2 linked regions of the Styela clava genome follow. The protein of the gene in region 1 interacts with the protein of each later gene in a biochemical or structural test. Links are inferred from orthologs where the notes say so. Each region holds a gene or a part of one and is shown in the gene's direction. Other genes may lie near its edges.

Region 1 (7,806 bases):
AAAATAGTGTCTATTTGTTGTACTGTCTGACTGTTGTATGTATGTAATCTATCTATCTCAGTATCTACAACATCGGAAAAATAAAATTAAAGCACTTGGAGCACAGGAATATGGTGGACATAATTATGTGAGTTTTGAATTGTATCGGTACCGATATTTCCTCAATAACTGGTATTTACTTTTAGGCTGGTGCCTGTAAAAACAGAAAAATGTTCCTGTACCGTAATTCAAATTCAGTAATATGTGAATACTGGAATATCTCGATACTCACTGTATATATTTGTATATTGTACTCTAGTACTTAGATGAAATACAATGGAAGAGATAAAATGAATGTAAACACATAGTGAAAAGTGGTGTCGTAAATCTGTAGTGGACCTCAGAGACCGAACCAGCTGCTTGACCACAAGCAGCCAAGGTTCAAAAAAACATTCCTGCAAGCTTCCGATTCCAAGATGTTTCGACATTTGCCTCAATAAAACAAACATGCTATTTTTCTCTGATCACGCCAAGCTAGTCATGGTAATAATTTAAATTAATTGTGATGTGCGTCGGCCGTCATATGACCAAAATTGCGTTTATTTGCTAAAAACTCTCAAATGCTATGAAATATGGCAAAATTTCTTTTTCTACTGTAAATCGGATTATTATTTTCAGAGGAATCCAATGGTGATGTTTTAGATTGCGTTTCCTTTTAGTTCATGACTTGTCCCAGTTTGCCAATATGGAGGCTCAGACTGTATTGTAATGGGAGGGTTTGCACTCCACTGTTATATTTGATGTATTTTAACGTCGGGGCTATTCTTGGAATCAGAGAACTGTAACATACTGTTTTAATCAAATCATTAATCAAATAATCTGGAATGATAAACCAGAATGCTATGTCGATCCCATACCTGACCAGGCATTGGTATAATTATGATGAGATGTTGTGGTTGGCCTTATTTTTAAGTAATAATGAATGCACTAATTCGATATAAAAAACTGAGCATATTTGATTGAAGATGATTTCGAGATTGAAAAGTGGAAAATGGAAAATATCAAGTTCTTGTATTGTGCTCTTGTTAAGGGTATAGAAGTCCTATCAGTAGTATTTAGATAGTTATTCCTTGAAGAAATATTTAAAAAGAAATTATGAATATTTTTATTTAGTTTAGTTCCAGTTATTTATTTTATAGCAAGTGAATATTTACATTTGGATTATTTCGAGTAAGGTAAATAAATTGAAAAAAAGCTCGCTGAGGCTGGGTGTGAAGTGGGCGTTTTGAATTTGTAAATAATTTGAGCAAATTGATTCAATTCCTCCATTATCACGAGCAATCAATTTTATTTCTGCGTTATGGTATACAGAGGATGTGTATAACACAAAATAAGAGAATAATCAAAAACTACATTCAACTCATTTGTATCAATGTCTCAATAAACTTGTACTTCTAGCTTAAAAACAAGCTATGATGGCGAAAACCGATTAATATACTATTCTGAATACACTGTATAATATTGGATATTCTAAATTAGTTTATGTTCATCAAATAACACATATAAGTTGATATATAACTTATAAGGAGTGATGTTAAATTTTTTAATACAATTAAGTAAGATGAAAAATTATGTGATTGGTTCTCTCTATTCAAAAATTTATTTTTGCAGCATGATTTCAGTTGCTCTAAATTTCAACTATTCTAAATTTTCCCAATTAAATAATAACGAATACAATCAATTCCAAATAGATTCTAGTATTACTTAATTTCAGATATTCTCTGTAATAAGTATTTTTTGAAAAAATTTTTTGTCATTTTTTACGATCGATTCAAGCTGAGTATTCGATTCATCTTATCTACTTCTAGTTAAAGTGAGCAAATAAATACACTGTGATTACTTGCAAAAACTAGGTAATTCAAATCATCAATGAGGATCTTTCAGCAGCTGTGTTGGGAATAAACAGCTTGGAAATTAGATTATTTTTTGATAAGGCATTATAGCTATGCACAATTCATAACTTTTGTTATTTATTAGGAGTGCAACAATGGAAGCTTTCTATTATGACATTCACAAGAGATTTGGTTTTTATATCAAAGATCATTAAAAACGTACTGCATAATCAAGTTTAGTCAAATACACCCTATTTACCTTTTGGTTATAGAAACTAAGGTTATTTATATTACATGTGATGTATCGATATAATATTTTTGTTAATCGTTTTTCACTTTTGTAAGAAAGGTCGTTCATTCTTTCTATAGAAATAAACTGTCATGCGATGGCATGTCTATTTAAATACTCAATTATTGATCTATGACGTTATTCATTGATACATATGTAATGGTTGTATATCTACATTTAATACTCCATGGTTGTTTTATAAATAGGATATTTCTGAATACGCAATTTTGTTGTGTGGATGCCAAGCCATTGGAGGAATTTTGTCTGAACGAATTTCAATTCTTGATATTTTGATGCTTTTTGAAGAATTTCAAATTGTGAAATTGGGGATTTTTATTTTTATCACCCCCTGTGCAACAGAATCATGATTTATGACAAATTGTATGAAGGATGGTTTGATTCAGGAGAAATGAATTTGCAGTATATGCTATTTGAATGAAGTACCCGTATGTGGTGATATATGATAATCTTGATTATCTTATGGGTTATTATCAGTATTTGAATTTTATAATTTTGTAGTAATCAATGTTTCATACCGAATACTTAAAGTGATAATTTTATAGTTATATAGCATATACCTGCTTTAAAATTTATATTATACCATTGCTTTATAATGTGATGTATTCAAAATCGATATTATGCTTATAAATCCATTTGGAAAGATGATAGGATTATAGCATGTTGCTTGAAAGTAAATTGGATTCCATAGTATGTTAATTTGTTCTTGGTGAGAAAATAGAAAACTCCTAGGATAGTTAATAGTCATTCCCACTTGGGCTGATAATTTTAGTTAATATTCTTTGTTCTCTTATCAAACAAAATTGACTGGTTATCCATTGTTGCTTTAAATCAAATAAAACATCTCCAGTTTAGCTTTTCCTTGGTGTTTAACAATTAGGATTGGTATTCTTTTCAAATTGAAGGCCACAGAGGATAAAGTCTAGCGATTTTTTGAAGTGAATGTATATTAAACTGTCATAATTCGTTGTAACTAACTATCAGAGATCAGTTAAATAAAAAATACCTGGTTGACCGTGCCCATACCTATTACCAACACTTAGGTTAGAGGTAGGGATGGTTATATGGTTCCAATCACCATTCGAATGGCCTCCCTCTCCCGTAGAGAGCATATTGGGCTGCCACTTTGACAGCAGGTTAGATCTTAAGGACAGTTATGCATCTATCGGTTCTATGACTTAAGTGAACATTTTAAACATGTGTAGTTAAACTAGTGTGGCTAAGTAATAGACTTAGCAAGAATATACATCCAAGTCTATTTATTGTCACTTGACTGACATAATCTATATATATATGTATGTGAATATTTATGCATATTATCGGACAAGGTTCCTTCTCGAATATGTGAAATATTATGCAACCAGTCATAGTGTGGGTTGCATGAGGTCATAGAGTTCATTGAACCAAATAAAGTAAATCATACTGATCTATGCTGTAGTGTCACAGTGTTAATTTTTTACTGCAAATACTTAATTATACCAACAGAGAGAGATAGAACAAGGAAGTAAATTTAGGAGGCTATAAATACCTGTTATAAAGCATTGTACATCAGGGTGCGTCCAGTGGATTGCTTTTAAAAAAAATGATATGGAACGATATTGTCTTTTAAAATAGCAATTATATTTGAACGTTTAAAACCGAGCTAATGATGAATGTAATTTGATCATTTATACATTGCGTGGTATCAGGTTTGTTATTTCAATTTCTGAAAAGTACAAATTTGACTGATGGCAGTGTAGAAATGTAAAAGTCTTGATTTTTTCAATTTGTTTAAGTTTTTAATACATAATTGAATACTTTTTAGTGTGGTTTTTAATTTTTATCCTATTTCTGAAATTACATGTAATTTCACACAGGGTCTTGCAAATATGGTAGCAATTGTAATCTACCACTAATAATCAGTGAAGTGTGACTGGCGAGATAATCTAAAACGAAAGTTTCAATGCTGTCAATGTCATGCTTCAATAATTTTTTGTCTATTATGAACTTCGTATATACCAAAGACGCAAAGTAGATTCATTTTCAATTTCATATCCACGACGAAATTAGGTTAACTATGAATTTTATTGGAATAAGAATTTAAAAATTTATAAAAAAAAGTGAATGGAATGATTTTGATTCGTCTAATCTAATGGTATGTATAAAGTTTATATTTCTGTTGGATCCAAATTTTGTTATAAATTGATTCTTGATATATCTTGACCAGGTTTGTTTTATTTAAATAGTTTTTTTTACTACATTTAATACACATATAAATAATATACTCACCGTTAATTGAACAAAGCACCTTAAAGTCCTTTTATCTAATTTCATTTATGACTCTTTGAGCACCCTGTATAACTAATTCAAGTTTTCATGTTTTTTTCTCTATTTTATTGTCACAGTGTAATAGATAGTTATTAATAAAAGGATTGTTAATAGAAATACCGTAGTAATTTTAACTCAGGAATTATACCTTATCGGATAACCGTGGATATTATTCAGCATCAGGATGGCAAACACAATAAAATCTATGGTCAGTAAGAAGAAACGAAGATATAAGGAAGGAGGATTCGATCTGGATCTCACATGTAAGTTGATAGATTTCATATTCGAATATAGGCCAAATCTGATGATAACGTGCCAAAAAAATTATGCATGTAATATACCAAGTTATTTATATCAAATTTGCATGACTAATTCATTTCAGTATTTTATGGAGCATAAGATACGCTTTGAATATTTCGTTCCGTCAAAAATAAATTGTCAAGCTGGAACGCCTCGTGTTTGAATCAGGTAGTTCCTTATAGCCTACACTCAAAACCAGTAACACCCAATGCACCTTTCGTATGAATAAAAACCCAATCTAAGCAATTTATTGACAGTGCGCCTTATGATATGGTAGTTTTATTTTTAAATATTCTGATAGCCTTTAAAGAGATGATGAAAACTGCTATTGCTAAAGTTTCTAAGGTAAAACAAAAAGAATCTCCAATACATATATATAGCAAGGGCTAGGAATTATTTAGTTGCTGTGTGCCATGCTTTACTCTGTCACATTGGGAATCTTTGCTAAAACCAAAAATACTGTAATTGTCAGCATTCAGTGTAGCAGTGAAATTGTTACATACAGATACAGGTATATGCAAAAATATGGGTTGTACTAAATTTTTAATATGAATTCAAGAAGAGTATTTTGGTTTATTATCAAAATAATGACTGTCCTGTCAGTGTTGGCAAACTAAATTATATTTTTATTTCCTATATTTGGGAATGTAGAGAGAGTAGGATTACCAGGTAGCAGTGAACGATTATGGTATTGCACATAAAATGTATTTTTTTAATATTGATCATTGTTTGAATATTTTTCAATAATGTTTTCAGCAGATGTTTAAAACTTTCACTTTCATTATCACATTTGAGATTTGATGGTAACTTTATTACGGTAGATATAATGTCTTGAATGTGTTGAATCATAAATGCTATATAACAGCACAATAATGCTTACGAAATGACTGCAGAACAAAAATTATAAGCAAGATGATTTTTGACTCGGTTCTTTCATGAAGTCTAAATTAAGCAAAATAAAATCTCAAATTCCACTGAACTAAAGCCGTAGGGTCAATATATTATGTCCCTGATATGATAGACTGATATACTGGTTCATAGTATTCAAGTTAAGGCATTCGGAAAACTGGCAGAAAAATTACTATGTTTTTTTTTTGTTCTCATTCAGATATCTGTCCAAATATTCTTGCGATGGGATTCCCAGCAGAAAGAGTTGAAGGATTGTACAGGAATAATATTGATGATGTAGTCAAGTAAGTAACATTTGAAAAACGAAATTCGGTTTAATTCATTGATTGATTGCAGAAGAAAAAGACTGATTTTCAAATTTTTATGAGTCCCGGTATATATATATTGGCTGATTTTTGCATGACATTGTATGTTGTGTTGCAAAAAATTTAAAACTTGATTGTTATTTGAGCTCAATTTTGTTATGGACATGCAGCCATGTGGTTGCAGTATTGCCTTGAAAATTAGAATTTCCAATCCTTTTTTGGGCCATTATGAAGCAGTAGCTGGGGATAAGTTTGCTTTGATGTTACATTTATCAACGGTGTATGCTTATTATCAACCTGATATAATGAACTCCATTGGTATGGTACAACTGATATTTTTGAAATTTTTATGCTTTTTCTTGAAATTTATGCTTTTTTTACAAATTATTCTGTCAATTTTAATCTGAAGTTTGTTTAGTGAGTGATTAACATTAAAATGAAATATATAGCTACTTTCATTATTAATAAGAGGTGAATAAATGTACATACCAAAAAATCAACCATGAAATTCATTCATACATGAGTAGCTTTAAACTTAGGATCATAAGAAATAATCTGAAGACTTAATGTGTAGATGTAAATCATCATATTCTAATATGAGAAGTGAAAAACTGTGTTGTATTTTACTCTGTAATATCGTTCTTTGTTTTTTTTCAGATTTCTTGAGTCGAAGCATCCCGGCCACTATAAAGTTTATAATTTGTAAGTACATTTTAATGGTCATAATATATTCACATGTATATATTGTATAAATATCATATTTTTTTTTTATTTACAGATGTTCTGAAAGGACATACGATACTGAAAAGTTTCACAAAAGAGGTAAATCTCTTTAATTGATTTAGATAGCTTTTTAAAAAAAATTTGGTTTAAAACTATTTTGAAATATTGAATATTCTAAAAATTCACCATGATAAAAATTATTGGAAAAATTCTTCAAGTTGAGAAAGAATTGTTATTGAAATAAAGATGTAAACATAGCTCAATATTTAAATCTTGCAGCCAGTTTTCCTTAATCTTACTTATAAATATTAATTGATTTAGATAGCTTTTAAAAAAATATCGGTTTAAAACTATTTTAAAATATTGAATATCCCAAAAATATACTATGTTGGAAAATTATTGGAAAAATTCAAGTTGCGAAAAATTGTTGTTAAAATAAAGATGTAAACATAGCTCAATATTTAAATTTTGCACCCAATTTTACTGTAATCTCAACAATAAATAGTAGCTGTATTTCTTGTAGAAATGGTGGCCCACTGCATTCATATTCATTCGCCACCTCACCCGAGGCGTAATAAATTGGGTCTGCAATTCCAAACTATAACTCCTTATGTAGCAGTGAGTGATTGTGTAGAGCCTTGTTCAGAGCCAAAGGAGTATAAAAAATACTCAGCTGTTGGTTACAGATATTTGTATCCTAATATTCTTTATTAATAGAGTCTGTTTAAAAAATTTGAAATTGATCTGTGATATTTCAGTCACCAGGATAATTAAAATAGCAATCTTTCAAAATATAAGGAAAGTTTGAAACATTTTAATAGGGTTGGATTTATATAAAATATTGGGTCTTCATTGCAAAAAGACTTGTGAAGTAGCTTGGGTGATTATTAACATTGACGTAACCTATGTTGCAAATTTACATAATCAGCACATTGATTAATATGCACAATCAGTCATTTCCTACTACCGAAAAAATCAATTATTTTTAAGTTATGCAACTCCGTTTGAGGTTGGTCTGTTTATTATTCATTTAGTTGCATTTGAGATTCTGATTCCAATTAATTTAATATTCAATATACACGAG
Region 2 (8,248 bases), on another chromosome or scaffold:
CGTCTCTTTGCTTCTATAAATTTGTAATTCTGGGTCTATGTCAGAAGATTTTGGCCAGTCCATTTGAGTATGATGCATAACTGCGGACAGTACAGGATCTCTTCTCGTCCAAGACTGAATTGCATCAACTTTAACAAGGGTAGAATCGACTGCTTCAAGAAGATTCACTACATCACCACAAGGCGGTATATAATCCGGTTTAACAGGCAAAGGCAAACGACTTAGTGCATCGCTATTGGCTTGGTTTTTACCTGGAACATACACTAATTCGTATTGATATCCATCAAGTAATACTTTCCAACGGATCATTCTCGGTGGAGCTGCATCAGGAAGTGGCTTATTCTTCCCAAGTAAACCGAGAAGTGGCTTGTGATCAGTTTCCAAAACAAACGGTCTTCCATATAAAAATGAATGGAACTTTGTAACAGCGAATACTAGAGCTAATCCCTCTCTATCCAATTGGCTATAATTACGCTCTGGTTTTGACAAAGATCTGGATGCAAAAGCCACAGGACGTTCTCCTTCCTGCGTTATTACAGATAAAACTGCTCCGATTCCATAAGGACTGGCATCTGCAGAAACAATGACGGCGGCATTTCCGTCAAAATGAGCAAGGCATGGAGCATTACACAATAGCGATTTCGTTTTCTTAAAAGCTTCCACTTGCCTTTTATTCCAGTGCCATCGAACATTCGAACGAAGAAGTTCATACAAAGGAGCAGCAACAGTTGATAAATTTTTAATGAATTTACCATAATAATTAAGCATCCCCAGATATGAGCGCAACTGATGTATATTTTGTGGTTCTGGGGCATCCAGAACAGCTCCCAGATTATCTTCAGTTGGTTGAACTCCAAGTTTATTTATACGATATCCAAGATAAGTAATTTCCGAAACCATCCATTTACATTTGTTTGGATTAATTTTTAGACCTTCATTTGTAAGACGCTTGAAAACTTCTTCCAATCTGGCTATGTGTTCTTTATCAGAAGAACCGGTTACTCCAATATCGTCTTGGAAAACACCTACACCTGCTATGTCACCCAGCAGTGTTTCAAGATATCTCTGGAATATAGCTGGGGCACTTGATATTCCATAAACAAGACGATTTGTCGTGAATAATCCCTTATGTGTATTAACTACTGTGTACTTTTGACTCTCTTCTGCCAATGGTATCTGCAGATATGCCTCTTTCAGATCAATAACAGAGAACTTTTCCCCACCAGCAAATTTAGTCAATAATTCATCCACCTTTGGCAATGGATACTGCTCGAGACGACTTGCTTTATTTACAGTCAAGTCATAACTTCCACAGAGCCGAACTGACTTCTGATCAGCTTTTAATACGGTAACCATAGGTGCAGCCCAATCGGATGTTTTACATGGCTTCAAAACACCGATTTCAACTTGTCTATCAAGTTCAGCTTCGACCAATTCTTTGAGTGCAAGAGGTACAGGTCGTGGTTTATAAAATTTAGGCTTAACGCTGTCATCAATCTCCAATTTAGCTTCAGTTTTTGCACAACCTAATCCAGGTGAAGACAATTCAGGATACTTATCAAGCAGTGTACTGATTTTAACATCAGAATAGTTAATTTTGAAAATTGAATTCCAATCAAGTTTGATATGTTTCAACCAATTTCTCCCCAGCAATGGTTTACAGCGGTTACTATTTCTTACCACAGTGATTGGCAATACCATTGGGTTACCATTTTGATACGTTACAGTAACATCCCTTTCTCCCTCTACTGGAATAGACTCCCCCGTGTATGTAGACAGTTTAACATCGGTGTGGTTCAATTCTGCTTTTGGCCACAACTTTTTATATTGCACTAAAGACATGACAGATAGTGTAGCCCCTGTATCTACTTCCCAAGAAATGTTTTTGCCATCGATGTCAAGATCAAGATAGATTGGATTGCATTTCACACCCACATTGTTATTTTGCACGGACGACACTGTATGATGTAATTCGTATGATGAACCAGAGTTTTCATTCGTTTCACTTTCGCCCGGCGTATTCTTATCATCAGCGATACAACATTGAGAATTACATTGTTTACTTCTCTGGCCGTGTCTATACTGACTTGATTTCTTGAATCGACACACACTCTTGGTATGGCCCTTTTTACCACAACTAAAACACTTGGCATCTTTAAATGGACATTCATGGGCAAAGTGCTTAGAACTATCGCAACGAAAACATCTAAGAGACTTACCCCCTCTAGCCGAAGAAAGCTGTGGTGCTCTAGGCTTGAATTTGCTATCGGAATTCTTTTCACGCTGCACATCAATTTCATATAATTTCTCTGGTCTCGTGTGACGTTGTTCAATTTGTTTTGTTTGTTGCTTTGCTTGTTCTAGACTTTTTGCATAATCCAGAAGTTCTCGAAGAGACATACGCTGCTGTAGAGCTTTTTCCCTAACTCTAGAATCACATCCACCAGAAATAACCTGCTGTTTTATTTCACGATCAGCATCCGTAAAATCACAGGTAACAGCTAATTTACGCAAACGTGCCACATAAGTATCAATATTTTCGCCAAATTTCTGTTTTGCATTCCTGAAAACATCACATTCAAAATCAATGTTTATCTTTGGCACGAAATAATTATCCAATTTCTTAACGGTGTTGGCATAAACATTATCATTTTCATCTGCATTCGGCGGTGCGGGCAAATTCTCATGCAGGTCAAAAACTTCAGGTCCCGCAAAATGTAATAATAACGCCTTCTTTCTCTCTGCGTTGTCAACCGACATGGCGAGGCACATGTTTTCAAATCGTCGCAGCCATTGTTGCCATTCGTCTGGGCGATTAATGTTGAATTGCGCAACTTCCAATGATGCTGACGTCATTATTCTGTTAACAGTTGCAATCGTGCTTCAACGATGCTCAAATAATTTACTGCCGTTTAATTCAATATAATAACAGGCCTTGGGTTCCCAGTCCAGTGAATGCTGTTCACTATGAATATCCAAAGTCACTGATTATGCTGCAATATTCAGTTCTAACTCCGTCGCAGTCCAGCGACTGTTCTCTTATCTACCCTCGAAATTAAGCTGTAACTTCGATATATTTTTCTTCCTTCCTTCCCCAAGAAATGGCTACAAAACGGCACAAAAAGGCTTTTTAATCCTCGTCGCCAATTTGTTATATCTTTATAACAAGTAATGAATACAGACTCATTACAAAACTGCACGCTATTTATTTGGACATCCGTCCGTCAACTTAGTTCAGAACAAAAGACCTCTAAACAGAGGAAAAACAACTTACGGCACTAGACAGCATTGTGACGTAACAATATAGCACACAAGCAGATAGAGTAGTAAACAAGCTATGATAGTAAGCTCAACATAATATATAACACCGATAACCTTAAAAATCTTTGAGTTTTTGAGCAAGAATTTCCAGAATTTCCAGAATAAAAATCGTGTTCCCATGATTAAATGATAATAGTCAGTCAGTCAGTCAGTGGTTTATTTTATCACATACCAAAAGTACACAATAGACAAAAATAACTACGAATCCCATATAAAACAATACTTTCAGTGTGAAGGGAGGCGCGATAAACCAGTAGAGGTTATCGAGCAGCGTCATCCTGGGGGAGTGAGTCTAAAAATTAAATCAAAGTGAGATAAAAGTCAAACAGGATACTAGCAAAAGTCGTGAATAATAAATAAAATAATTAATAAATAGCGAAATTTTTGATGAAAATAGCAAATCTCATAGGATTCACAAAAAGTTTGACGGCGGTGTGGCGCATCGTGCTAAGCGTTGGGAATACGCTCGTCGCCGCACCCCTGATTACCCTTCGTGGGATCGCAGGTTCGAATCCCATGCGGGGATGATAATGTGCGAGAGGATTGCTGGACTCCTCGCCGCCGTAGGGTGGTTCACGTAACCGCTGGACGGTTACGCCTTACTCCACCATCAAGTTCATGCTTCCGAAAACAAACAACTGGCTAACTAATTCCATATCCGACATGGACTGGTAACCGGACGAGAGGCCGTGGTTCGCCATATGATTTAGTCGTCTTATCGGTTTTCCTCTCCCCCGGGATAAATATGTAAATCCTATCCTATCCCAAAAGTAATAGTCTTCTGGAGAAAAATTCCATCTTAAACCACTGAAAATTTCAATGCAATTGGTCCAGTATAGGATAGGATTTACATATTTATCCCGGGAGAGAGGAAAGCCAATAAGACGGTTTATCCATATGGCGAACCACGGCCTCTCGTCCGGTTACCATTCCGGGTATGGGATCGGGTATGGGATTAGTTATATTGTTTGTTTTTTCGGAAGCATGGACTTGGTGGTGGAGGAAGCCGTAACCGACCAGCGGTTACGTGAACCACCCAACGACGGCAGGGAGTCCAGTAATCCTCTCGCACATAACCATCCCTGCGTGGGATTCGAACCTGCGAATCCACGCAGAGTAATTAGAGGTGCGGTGGCGAGCGTATTCCTTACGCTTAGCCCGTTGAGCCACACCGCCGCGCCAGAAAAGCGATATTTTAATGATAATGATGACGAATAACAATAACAACAACATAATATTAAAACGATCGTTATGTCCACTAATGTGTCCAATTATTGCCAGATGAAACTGGTTGATGGTCAGAAAAAAACATTTGACCATATGGCAAATTTATATTCATGAACATCTGCTTCACCTTGCGCTTGGAAAAGGTAACTTATCCATTCACTGGATGGCGCCGTATGTCAACAAAACCTGAACAGGACGATTTGCCTGCCTTTTCACGGTCCCGTCTGTAGGTTTGTATGCGTTAATTATCAAGTTTTTTTACCCGATTAAATCGGCCAACTGGCCATTGCTTCAATCAATTATGTTGGTTCAGAATATGGATTGGATCTAGAATTATGCTTTATCGGTACAATATCCAATGCTTTTGAAAGAATATTCCTAGAAATATGACTAAAAAGCCAGCATGTTGATGTTTTAAAAATATTGTATTTTAAACAGGCGTCAAAGATGGGGAAGTTTATGAAACCCAACAAGGTGGTGATTGTCCTTCAAGGGAGGTACGCTGGCAGAAAAGCCATCATTGTAAAGGTATTTATCCCAACTTATAATTGTATTATTCAAGTTTCTGCATACAACTTTGTGAGTCATAGAACTAATTTGCCCCAATGGTCTGGTCTGGTCTGGTACCGTATAGTTTCGTACCTGAAGTACTTCTAGTTGGCCTGGCTTAGCAGTTTTTGCATATGTCATTTCTAACCCTGTAACCCCAACCTGACTGCGTCACCAAAAATCATTGTAGTGGCGTAATAAGGCCCTCCTAAAGTATATTGATGTTCATCAAAAGCGCGCAGACGATTACGAGCAAGCTATATTTCTTGCCGTAGCGATCCGGATATGAGGGAGATCGCTGGCGTTAGTAAGGCGCAGATGCCATTTCGGGCGATTGTAGATAAACTTAGTCAAGTTCTATGACATGATTGTTACGTCCGTACGTTGTAGTGATGTAATTTTTGGATGATGGAGTCAGATAGGGATTAGAAATGACTTACGCAAAATTCGTTAGTAAAATAGTATTTCAGTACGGCACACTTTACAGATCGAGAGACATTCTCTCGCTTTAGAGAAACCTATTTTAACGGTGATCGAATACCCCTCCTTCGATGGACGTCTGGCGGATTTTGTCTCCCGATATCGATAAATTGAAGCTGCGCAGTAAACTAACAAAAAGCGCAATCTAAAACCATCACCATTGAATTCCTCGTGAAAAAACAATCAGATCTACCGATGTAAAAAAAATTTTACCGGTGCGTTCGAGAGAAATGAGCAAAAAAACGATTGACGGCGTGTGACGTCACTGAATTTCAATCGACGCACGCAGGCACGCATCGACCGTTCCTCGACGTAAACCTTGGCGTGCCGTGTTTCTCTCATTTTCAATGTAGATAGGATGGCGTGTTAACGATAATAAATGGATCAGAGATAATAAAAATTACATTTTGATAACACACAATCGATAAACAGTAAAATTAATGCCTCGATATAGCATTAGATAAATTAGTTCATAAAGCAATAATTTAATCTAATGCCGCAACCAGACATTCATATGCCGCAAAATGTGCAACTTGCGTAATTTATACAAGAATAGATCGGCGAAAAACGAGAATCAAATTAGCAAAATAACTTAATATAATGCCACATCGATGTATTCAAATGCCGCAAATGTTCAGTTTGCATAATTTATACTAGTAGAAATCGGTAAAAAACAAGATTCAAAATAATATAATGTCCCATCGATACATTCATATGCCGCAAATGTTTAACTTCGAAAGCTACGGTATACGAGAATAATTTAATTCAATGCCACATCGAGGCATTCATATGCCACAAATGTTAATTTATACGAAAATAATTTAATTCATATGCCGCAAATGATCAACTTGCGTAATTTACACAATAATAGATCGGCAAGAAACAAGAATCAAATTAGCAAAATAATGTAATATCATGCCGCATCGATGTATTCATATGCAGCAATTGTTCAATTTGCGTAATTTATACTAGTATAGATCGATGAAAAACAAGATTCAAACTAATATAATGCGGCATCGATACATTCATATGTCGCGAATGTTTAACTTCGAAGTATACGGAATACGAGAATATTTTAATTCAATGCCACGTCGAGGCAATCATATACTGCAAATGTTAATTTGCGTGATTTATGCAAGAATAGATAGGTGAAAAACAAGAATCAAATTAATATAATGCCGCATTGATGCATTCGTATGCCGCAAATGATCAACTTGCGTAGTCTGTGAAAAACAAGAATCAAATTGGCAAAATAGTTTAATCCAATTAATCATCGAGGCTTTTATTTTACTATGGATTGTTGACGCTCAAATTTAAATAAAAATCTCGAATATAATTATTAAATGATATCGTAATTCGTAATCGTTGTGCGTTCTGGAAGTTTCAGTTCTAAATAACCGAAGATGCTATGTTAAATTGTTGTAATTACATGTATTAACGGGCATACAAAGTTTCACTATCGATATTAATTTAACTATTGAAAAAAAAACTTCGATATCGTGCATCTTTTTGACTTCGTTATACGACAATTCAAACAATGTCATGTAGTCACAAACACTTATAATAAAATTAGTTGGACTCGTAGACGTATTACTCGAAACGCATAATTTTATAATCTCTTGATATTATTTAAAAGTAATTATTTTATTCACAGACGTTTGCATTTACGCGACATTATTTTAATTAGGCACTACCAACAGTAGACTGAATATAATGATTCAGAAATACATCGTATATCTAACCATATAGGTCAGTATACATCGGTAAAAAACGAAAATCAAATTAGCAAAATTCGAGAGCCGTGCCGAACTGTCGATCTGTGCGTGACTTTCTTTGACGTCATATCCAGACATCTGACGCTCTCACGCATCGAGCTCGCAGACGACTCGACGCCCCCGGTTTCACAGACGCCTATTCATATTTTGGCTCTTCCGGAATGTAGACGCAAATCCGGATTCGGGATAGTGTGCCGTACTGTATTCGGAAGTACTTGTGATTCTAAACTATACCAGATTCCAGTAGTATTATGTTTCAGGCTGTTTGGAATGCCCATCTAAAGACCCGTTCAAGCAGGGAAAACGCTACATTGTCATTGGGTGTTTCAACCATAATAAGAATAAATCTAATACTATATTGCACTAGTCTATGGTATGAATGGACAGTGAAAAAGGGTTTGTAAGATGCTAGTGTGCAAATGTGTGGGGTCTAATGTAGTTTCGTACCTCCAGTACTTCTAATTGGTCGTAGCATAACAATGTTTGCATGTCAGCATATGTCAATCACAACCCTCCCCTGACTACGCAATCCAAAAATTTCATCACAGTGACGTAAGAAGACCCTCCAAACTACAAACTGTCAGCCAAGACGCGCAGACGATCACCCAAATCGAGCAAGCAGTTTTTCTCGTCACGGCGATTCCAAAATCGTTGGCGTTGATGCCATTTCGGGCGATCGTAGGTGTACTTTGACAAGATCTATGACGTCATTGTTGGGTGGTGTAGTCAGGTGGGGATTAGGATTGACATGTGCAAAAATCGTTTTGCTACGCCCACTTGAGGTACGAAACTACACAAGACCCAAATGAAAAGGAACGTCATTTCTACTGTGACAGGAAAGACAATTAAAGAATTGAGATATCGTATCATGTTTAATGTGTTTTCCTGCTTTAAAT

The links.
Region 2: the proteins of phosphatidylinositol 3,4,5-trisphosphate 3-phosphatase and dual-specificity protein phosphatase PTEN-like (region 1) and large ribosomal subunit protein eL27-like form a complex in vitro, tested with the Homo sapiens proteins (2 studies listed by BioGRID). The link is inferred for Styela clava from reciprocal best matches to the Homo sapiens genes PTEN and RPL27.

What each region holds. Positions count from the first base shown.
Region 1 is NC_135260.1:11,756,240-11,764,045, reverse strand, and holds the start of phosphatidylinositol 3,4,5-trisphosphate 3-phosphatase and dual-specificity protein phosphatase PTEN-like, read left to right. Parts: upstream 1-4,556; 5' UTR 4,557-4,669; coding exon 4,670-4,748; intron 4,749-5,893; coding exon 5,894-5,978; intron 5,979-6,656; coding exon 6,657-6,701; intron 6,702-6,777; coding exon 6,778-6,821; intron 6,822-7,806. UniProt on the Homo sapiens protein: Dual-specificity protein phosphatase, dephosphorylating tyrosine-, serine- and threonine-phosphorylated proteins.
Region 2 is NC_135250.1:23,438,074-23,446,321, reverse strand, and holds the start of large ribosomal subunit protein eL27-like, read left to right. Parts: upstream 1-4,718; 5' UTR 4,719-4,778; intron 4,779-4,986; 5' UTR 4,987-4,995; coding exon 4,996-5,076; intron 5,077-8,248.